2 linked regions of the Nothobranchius furzeri genome follow. The protein of the gene in region 1 purifies or fractionates together with the protein of each later gene. This does not show direct contact. Links are inferred from orthologs where the notes say so. Each region holds a gene or a part of one and is shown on either strand. Other genes may lie near its edges.

The links. The genes of interacting proteins can lie anywhere in the genome.
Region 2: the proteins of slc39a4 (region 1) and 1-acyl-sn-glycerol-3-phosphate acyltransferase delta purify together in Homo sapiens (affinity purification with mass spectrometry; 3 studies listed by BioGRID and IntAct, with this or other methods). This does not show direct contact. The link is inferred for Nothobranchius furzeri from reciprocal best matches to the Homo sapiens genes SLC39A4 and AGPAT4.

Annotation. Positions count from the first base shown.
Region 1 is NC_091759.1:4,708,895-4,712,394, forward strand, and holds part of slc39a4 (zinc transporter ZIP4), read right to left. Parts: intron 3,429-3,500; coding exon 3,286-3,428; intron 2,925-3,285; coding exon 2,747-2,924; intron 2,568-2,746; coding exon 2,395-2,567; intron 2,308-2,394; coding exon 2,116-2,307; intron 1-2,115. UniProt on the Homo sapiens protein: Selective transporter that mediates the uptake of Zn(2+). Plays an essential role for dietary zinc uptake from small intestine. The Zn(2+) uniporter activity is regulated by zinc availability.
Region 2 is NC_091752.1:17,897,645-17,901,593, forward strand, and holds the start of 1-acyl-sn-glycerol-3-phosphate acyltransferase delta, read left to right. Parts: upstream 1-1,149; 5' UTR 1,150-1,367; coding exon 1,368-1,554; intron 1,555-1,689; coding exon 1,690-1,859; intron 1,860-1,935; coding exon 1,936-2,097; intron 2,098-2,190; coding exon 2,191-2,344; intron 2,345-2,421; coding exon 2,422-2,524; intron 2,525-3,949. UniProt on the Homo sapiens protein: Converts 1-acyl-sn-glycerol-3-phosphate (lysophosphatidic acid or LPA) into 1,2-diacyl-sn-glycerol-3-phosphate (phosphatidic acid or PA) by incorporating an acyl moiety at the sn-2 position of the glycerol backbone.

The DNA of each region.
Region 1 (3,500 bases):
ATAACCAATCAGATAAATGAAAATGCCGCACGGCGCTGTAGTTTGTTAGCTATAGTCAAAAATTGCGTCTGGCAACGACGCAAACATATTTTTTTAGAAGAAAGGCTTTTAGCGCTTCTACTTGTTATGGTTTTAAAGACATTCAAGTCATTTAGAACAGAGGAAAGAACTGCAGCGAACTCCACCGCTGTGTTCTTTGTTCATGAGAAACTGAGCGTTGCTGTTTGTGACGACCACGACGCTGTAGTTTTTTAGCAGTAGTCAAAAATGGCGTCTGGCGATAGCGCAAACATCTTTCTTTAGATGAAAGGCTTTTCTACTAGTTGTTTTAAAGGCGTGTTCAAGTCATTTAGAACAAAGGATAGAGCCGCAGCAAACTCCGCTTCAGTCGCCATGTTAATGACAAACTCGGCGTTGTGGTGTGTGACACACGCTACTCAGCGCTGATTGGCTCGGTTAGAATTCTCACGAGGTGGGGTTATTTGATTAGGAGAGTACCCAGAGCCTTTCTCTGTGCAGAATTAAACAGAGGAGGAGTCTGGTAGGCCAAGCTAGTGCCAGAGGCCCAGGAGACAATAATGGCAAGCCCCCAGGGAAGGCTGAGCTCAGAACTCAGCGGCCCGGGACCCAAGGGCGTTAAACCCCGGCGGAGACCCAACAGAGGTTTTGTAATTCGTTGACTAAATCCATATAAAGTATGGAAGTATAGAGCTGCCACCCACGCAAAATACATTATATAACAACTTTATTGTTACAAAACTATAACTTTCACTTTTGTGCAATATATTATAACATTCTTACCATAAAATTTTCACGTTTGTAAATCACTTTCTTACAATATAAATATTATATTGTACAAACATGAAAATAATATTGTTACAACATGATACTATATTGTACAAATGTGATAACATATTGTAAGAACTAGGGATGAGCGAGTACACCACTATCTGTATCTGTATCTGTTCAACCAACAAAATTATCTGTATCCGTATCTGTACTCGGAATGGGCGTGGCACAACCCAGAAGTGGGCGTGGTTTAACCGGAAGTGGGTGTGGTTTACATCAATATATTATTTTAAGTCTGAAATTGATATGGATTGATCAGAAGTTGATATGTGTATTGTTTATTTGAAAACTATTTACAGAGCAACCTCAGAATTGAGATTACGGTAAATATTTTTGATCACAATAGTAAAGGAACTATTACAGAACAAGTGTTTCAATAAAATCAGAACATTAATATTTAAGTGCATGGATTAATACATCTGAACTCATGCAGTAGGAACTAGGAAATATGAAATGCTAGAACCAGACACAACTTTATATATATTTTTTAATTTTAATTTGATTAAACTGATTTTTTCTTAACGTTCTTGGCATTTTTCCCACACAAAGTTAAACAAAACAATGTTGATTGAGATGTGTGTGTGTGTGTGTGTGTGTGTGTGTGTGTGTGTGTGTGTGTGTGTGTGTGTGTGTGTGTGTGTGTGTGTGTGTGTGTGTGTGTGAGAGATAGAGAGGGAGAGAGAGGGAGTTAAAAAAAAAAAACCAACCGGAGCGGAGGTAGAGACACAGCATGTCAGCTCTGTCTTGTCAAATGCACCATGTAAGTTACGAAAAAAGTAACTTTAAATATTCAACCGAAAAAGAGGCGAGCTGAAGAAAACCTAGGGAAAACTGAAGAAACGTGAGCAACAGTGAAGCAATCACAGCGAGATCCGTTACTGTCTGTGTGTGTGCGTGGATGAGCCGGACGGACTGCGCTCTCGGCCGGCTAGAGAGTTTTGTGTGTAGGGAGGGGCGGGTGCTCTATGTGACTGGCCAAACACAGAGCGTGAAGAGAGTCAGTTACCCAATGAGGATTTTCCTTCAGCACGATTACAGATATTTACGAGGTTTACTCGTTTCATGCTCGTATTCGTCAAAAATGCTTTATCCGTACCGGATACTCGTCTGAAACGAGTATCTGACTCATCCCTAGTAAGAACAATAAAGTTAATATGTTATAATGCATATCACTCCAAGTTTTTTTTTCATGTGTGGCAGCTTTATGCTTCCATAGAAATAAGCTCTTTGCTGAGATGTTAATTAGAGGTTTGGTGTTGATCTGACCTCATGGTGATGGTGGTGATGATCCTTTTCTTGTGTAACCATAGAGAAGATGGTTTCCATCAGGTAAAAGATGTAGATCCCTCCGATTGTTGCCAGCATCTTCCATATGTAGTCTGGAATTTCTTCATTCTGTCTAGAATGTCGGTGACGTGCATCATCATCATCATCTGAGTGAATGTGTAAACTCAGAAACTAAAACAAAAGAAAAAAATCCTAAATTTATGTTCTTATAATCAGTGCAATAGAAAATCATTGTCAGGATAAAAAATAATCACTCACCATAGGGATCAAGTGCAGCAGGGCATCTCCGGTGAGCGATCCTACAGCCATGCTAATGCAGAACTGGATGCACAACTGGAAAATGTTGGTGCACGAGGTGCACAGCAGCACCACGATCCCAAACATGGATGCCAGGGTGATGATCACATTGGCGAGGGTTGCGTAGAGGTACCCTGCCACAGGAAAGCAAGAGAAAAGAGATTTCCTACTCTCCTATGTCATGGACCACAGCTTTAAGAGAGCGTGTTAGAATTAGGATTTCCCTTATACCCAATCATTTCTTAACATCAGATGAAAGTTTAAAATTCTGGCATGAAAGGCAGCATTTACTTTAGGTCAACAACAGACTTACGGTCGGTCTTGGAGAGTTCATCTGGGGTCACCGAGTCTGTGGTGGCTGCACAGGAGCCACTCAGGATCTGCTGGATGAGCGCAGGACTGAGCTGAACCACTTCAGATCGACCCATACTGGAGGAGTTTTTATCAGACAGACCAAAGATCCGGACCAGTTCTTCAGCTGAGAAACAGCGCTAGAAGAAAGCAACAGAAAAAACTTTGTGTTTTTGTCTCTCTTTGCTCAAATGTTATTAGCCGTCATGCAAAAATAAGACAACAATCCTGATTTGTCAGGAAGTGGTTTAAAAACCAGCTCCTCCATTGGGATGCCCCATCCTGGTCCTGGAGGACCAGTATTCTGCATGTTTTAGTGGTTTTCCTTGCTTCAACACACCTGATTTTAAATAGCAGGTGATTAACAGGCTTCTGGGAGCTTGGTGTGTTGCTGAACAGGTGATCCAACCACTGAATCAAGTGTGTCGGAGTGGAGAAACAGCTAAAATACGCTGGATACCAACCTTCCAGGACCAGGATTAGGCACCTCTATGTGCTTACATGCTCCCATGTGCTGTTACTCTCATGAGACTCATGACGTTCATAGCTGCTTCTCTTCCTCCGATAATGGTCAGCATGTTCATGGTCGTGTCCACGATCTTCCTCTTGTCCAAGCTTCAGCCTCCACATGAGGACCTTCAAATCTGCAGGGTATAAACAGGCAATACAGCTTGGTGAAATAAGTACATACTGAATACAAATCACTACCTAATACT
Region 2 (3,949 bases), on another chromosome or scaffold:
CATTGTCCATTTTCAAATAATGTGATTTTTGTTGTATGTAAACTTCTTGAATTTTTGTTCAGATCAAACCTCTGTTTAACATTACTAATGTGTGATGTTATTGTTTCTAAAATCAGTTTTATTGTAGTGAATAGGACGCTACACGCTTATAACTTTCTTTTTCAGGGCAAAAGAAAAGTACAGGTGTTCAAACTTTACAAAAGCGTCACTAATTGTATACTTGACTGTGGAAAATGTTTTTGGTGATTCTTTATTTCCCTCTAGTGTCAGCAAGATGAAATTACCTTATGAGTGGAATTAAACTAAAACATAACTTAATTATTGGTGTAGGTTGTTTTTTTCTTTTATTTCTTTATTTTTATCTCTAAAATTCCTTTAGAGTCTAAAGGAAGAAGGAATTTTTGTGTTTCTTATTGTCACACAAACCTGTTTTTTTCCTTTTCGTTTTCATTCATTCAAAGAAAGAAAGAAAATGCCTCTGCGCATGCGCCTATCTATTGTTTTCACGCATCCCCGTGCTTTTCCTGTAGCAAAACAAAGAGGGCGATCGTGACTAGCAGAAACTTCCATTAAATTGTCATAGCATAAAGCTAAAACATATATGTGCCGTTATGGACGTGTACGAAGGCTTCGATAGGCGCGCGCTACAGGACACTCTCCTTTTTGGTACATAAACGATCTTTGCAGCGAGGCTGGTCGTTGCGTCCATGATTTCTAGAAGGTGTCACACACACACACACACACACACACCAGTACAGGCGGAGTTTTCAGATGGGTGTGGCCCCTCGTGTGGGAAGTCTCACACACACACACACACACACACGCACGCACAAACACACACACACACGCACGCACGCACACACACACAAATAGTTAGCAGGGCGGTAGACACGGGTCTTGTTGAATGAATCATGGCTTAAGTCGGAAGTGGAACTGTTCGTGTGGCGCGATGGACTCCTGAGAATTCTGTTCTAGTGTTCCGGAGGTCAAGATTCATTCGTGGAGCTCAGAAAACCGGTTTGAGGTAAACTGTACAATTAAAAACGACTGCCTCGCATTTGGGTGAAACAGCTGCTAAACCAAGAATTTGACTACTTTTGGGGATAAAAAGTCGCATCACAGATTTCATCTGAACACCACCATCACGTGATCTCCTGAGCTTTAATCGCTGCTCTGTAATTGGTTGGTTGTAACACAGCTGAGCTCAAAGGTTCCTTTGATTGAAAGAATCAAGACAGGCTGGTCAAAGGAACCCTTACGTTCCGGGTGCTGGGGAGACGCTCCTCTGCTAAATTAGCTGACCATCTTCCCTGAAAAAGCTGAATATCAAAAGTTGTGACATAAATGATTTAATTCTAAACTCATTTATGGGCAGAATGGGGTTCCTGCAGCTGCTGAAATCCCAGTTCCTGTCCCACCTGTTCATCTGCTACGTGTTCCTGTTGAGCGGCCTCATCGTCAACCTGTTGCAGCTCTGTACTCTACCTCTGTGGCTGGTCAGTAAGCAGCTGGCTCGAAGGATCAACATCAGACTGTGCTACTGCATTGCTAGTCGTACGTACAAATCACATTGTAATCTCTTTTCTGTTGGAATTTGCTGCATTTGTAGCTTAGAGCTAATAAAAAAGGTGGTATTGTTGTAGTAAATTAAGGTCAGGAGTAAACAAATGATTATTTACCTGGCTACAGAGTTGGTAGCAACCCTGGAGTGGTGGTCCGGGACAGAATGCACTCTCTACACAGACCCAAAAAGCTATCCGCTTTATGGAAAGGAAAATGCAATTGTGGTTCTTAACCACAGCTTTGAAATTGACTTTCTGTGTGGCTGGACCTTCTGCGACAGATTTGGAGTTCTTGGGGTGAGAAAACTGAGAATCACAACACTTTATTTACCTCAATCAGGTGAACGTTTCATTACTTTTTTCCTCCCTCCAGAGCTCAAAGGTGTTAGCCAAAAAAGAGCTGGCTTATGTGCCAGTGATCGGCTGGATGTGGTACTTCCTGGAGATAGTTTTTTGCAAAAGGAAGTGGGAGGAAGACCGAACAACTGTGACGCAGAGTCTTCAGAACCTAAAGGATTACCCTGAACACTTTTGGGTGAGTTTAGTGTGGTCCTTGTCATTTCAATTTAAAATTAGGCCTATTTAAAAAAAACTGTCACAATTAAAATGCTGATATTTTTGCCACAAGTTCCTGCTTTTTTGTGAAGGAACGCGCTTCACACCAAAGAAGCACCAGATCAGCATGCAAGTGGCCCAGAGCAAAGGTCTGCCAAAGCTAAAGTACCATCTTCTTCCCAGAACCAAAGGATTCTGGGTAACTGTCCAAAACCTGAGAGGCACTGGTCAGTAACTGAACAGATTTTAGACATTATAGCGTAGCATTAGCTCATCCAGCTGACTGTTGTGTTTTGCTTTGCAGCTGCAGCTGTTTATGATTCAACACTAAACTTCAGGGACAACGAAGTTCCGACTCTGCTCGGAGTTCTCAACGGAAAAAAATATCATGCAGATTTGTATGTGAGGTAAGATCAGTGCAAATAGAGTACTATTATATATGGACCTGCAGTCCAGCACAGACAAGGGGGTGTGTTGCCAGTCTCCATTGGACTGTGAGTCGGATTAAATGCAAAGTAAAGTACTTTTACTTTTTAAAATTTTTGGAAGATGTAGTGGAGTAGAAAGTACAAATAACTGCTTTAATATGTAGTGGGGTGAAAGTAAAAAGTAGGCCTCAAGATAATTACTTTAGTAAAGTACAGATACCGTAAATCCTCTAATACAGGCCTGTATTCAATTAACGGCCGGGTATCATATTTTGGCCGGTGTCGGAGTCGGCGGAGGTGAATAATGGCCGTTTTTTAATTGTGGCCGGGTGGAATGTGGTAACAAGCAAGTACGGGGGGGCGGTTGTGTCATCAGTCTAACTTTTGATTTGCCAGCGATAGACCGCGAGGGTAACTTTAACCGTGCGGAGACGAAGAGGAGGCGAAAATTTGATATCAAGTTCAAAAAGAACGTTCTGATTATGCTGCAGAACACTCTGGGGAGCAGTAGCAGGGGTTGTATGAACTAGTCACTAGTCGACTTCACTATAGTGACTTTTTATGCCTGTCATCGACTAGTCGCTGTCACGTGATAATGACCGGCAAGATGCAGTCCTCGGAAAAGACAGCAGCCTGCTGTTGGCAGGTGACGAGCTCCTGCGCGTCGGGAGGGGCAACGCGCTGTACCAGAGTGTCGGTACTGACACCCGCCGTAAAACGGACATTTAACCAAATTGTGACGTTTACCCTCTTGCAATTTAACCTTCCCCTCACCCCCATCCTAACCTTAACCAGCTTGCGCATGCAAAGCTCTGATTTTTGAAGTGTTCCAGACATCTGCGTCCTGAGCACGGCCACAGTAACATCAAATCAGGTGTCGCCACCTCAAAAACTAATTCAACATGCGATCGTTCATGTCGGCTCATTTCCTTTAATGTTTTCTGTCTTTTATTTGCGCCTGATGCGTTTCACTGCTGTGGAGCGGGGCGCATCACCTTGTCCTCCGGTGACACACCTCACCGGTGCGGCCGGCGAGCAGCGAGCACTCCACTGTTTTTGCGGTCGGTAGATCTTTTAGAACTGCAGTTCAAAAGTAACTCATAAGGTGAATATATATGAACCCAGGTAGCAGTTTTTCTTTAGGACTGAGAGGAGATGCAGGAAGATAATAAACAGATACAGGACTGAAAAATAGTCAAATAAAAACAAGTTAGTTTTTGTACCTGGTGGTTGCAACAAACAGACACCATTGAAGGTAATCAGAAGTGAGGAACAGAAAATGAAATAATTATTTTAATGTTTAGATCAGCAGGATCTCCGAGAGGCTGCAGGTGCATCAGTGAGTTTGCGGCCGCTGCGCAGGGGGAGGGGGGAGAGGGCTGAAGCAGAAACTACCGTTGTTAA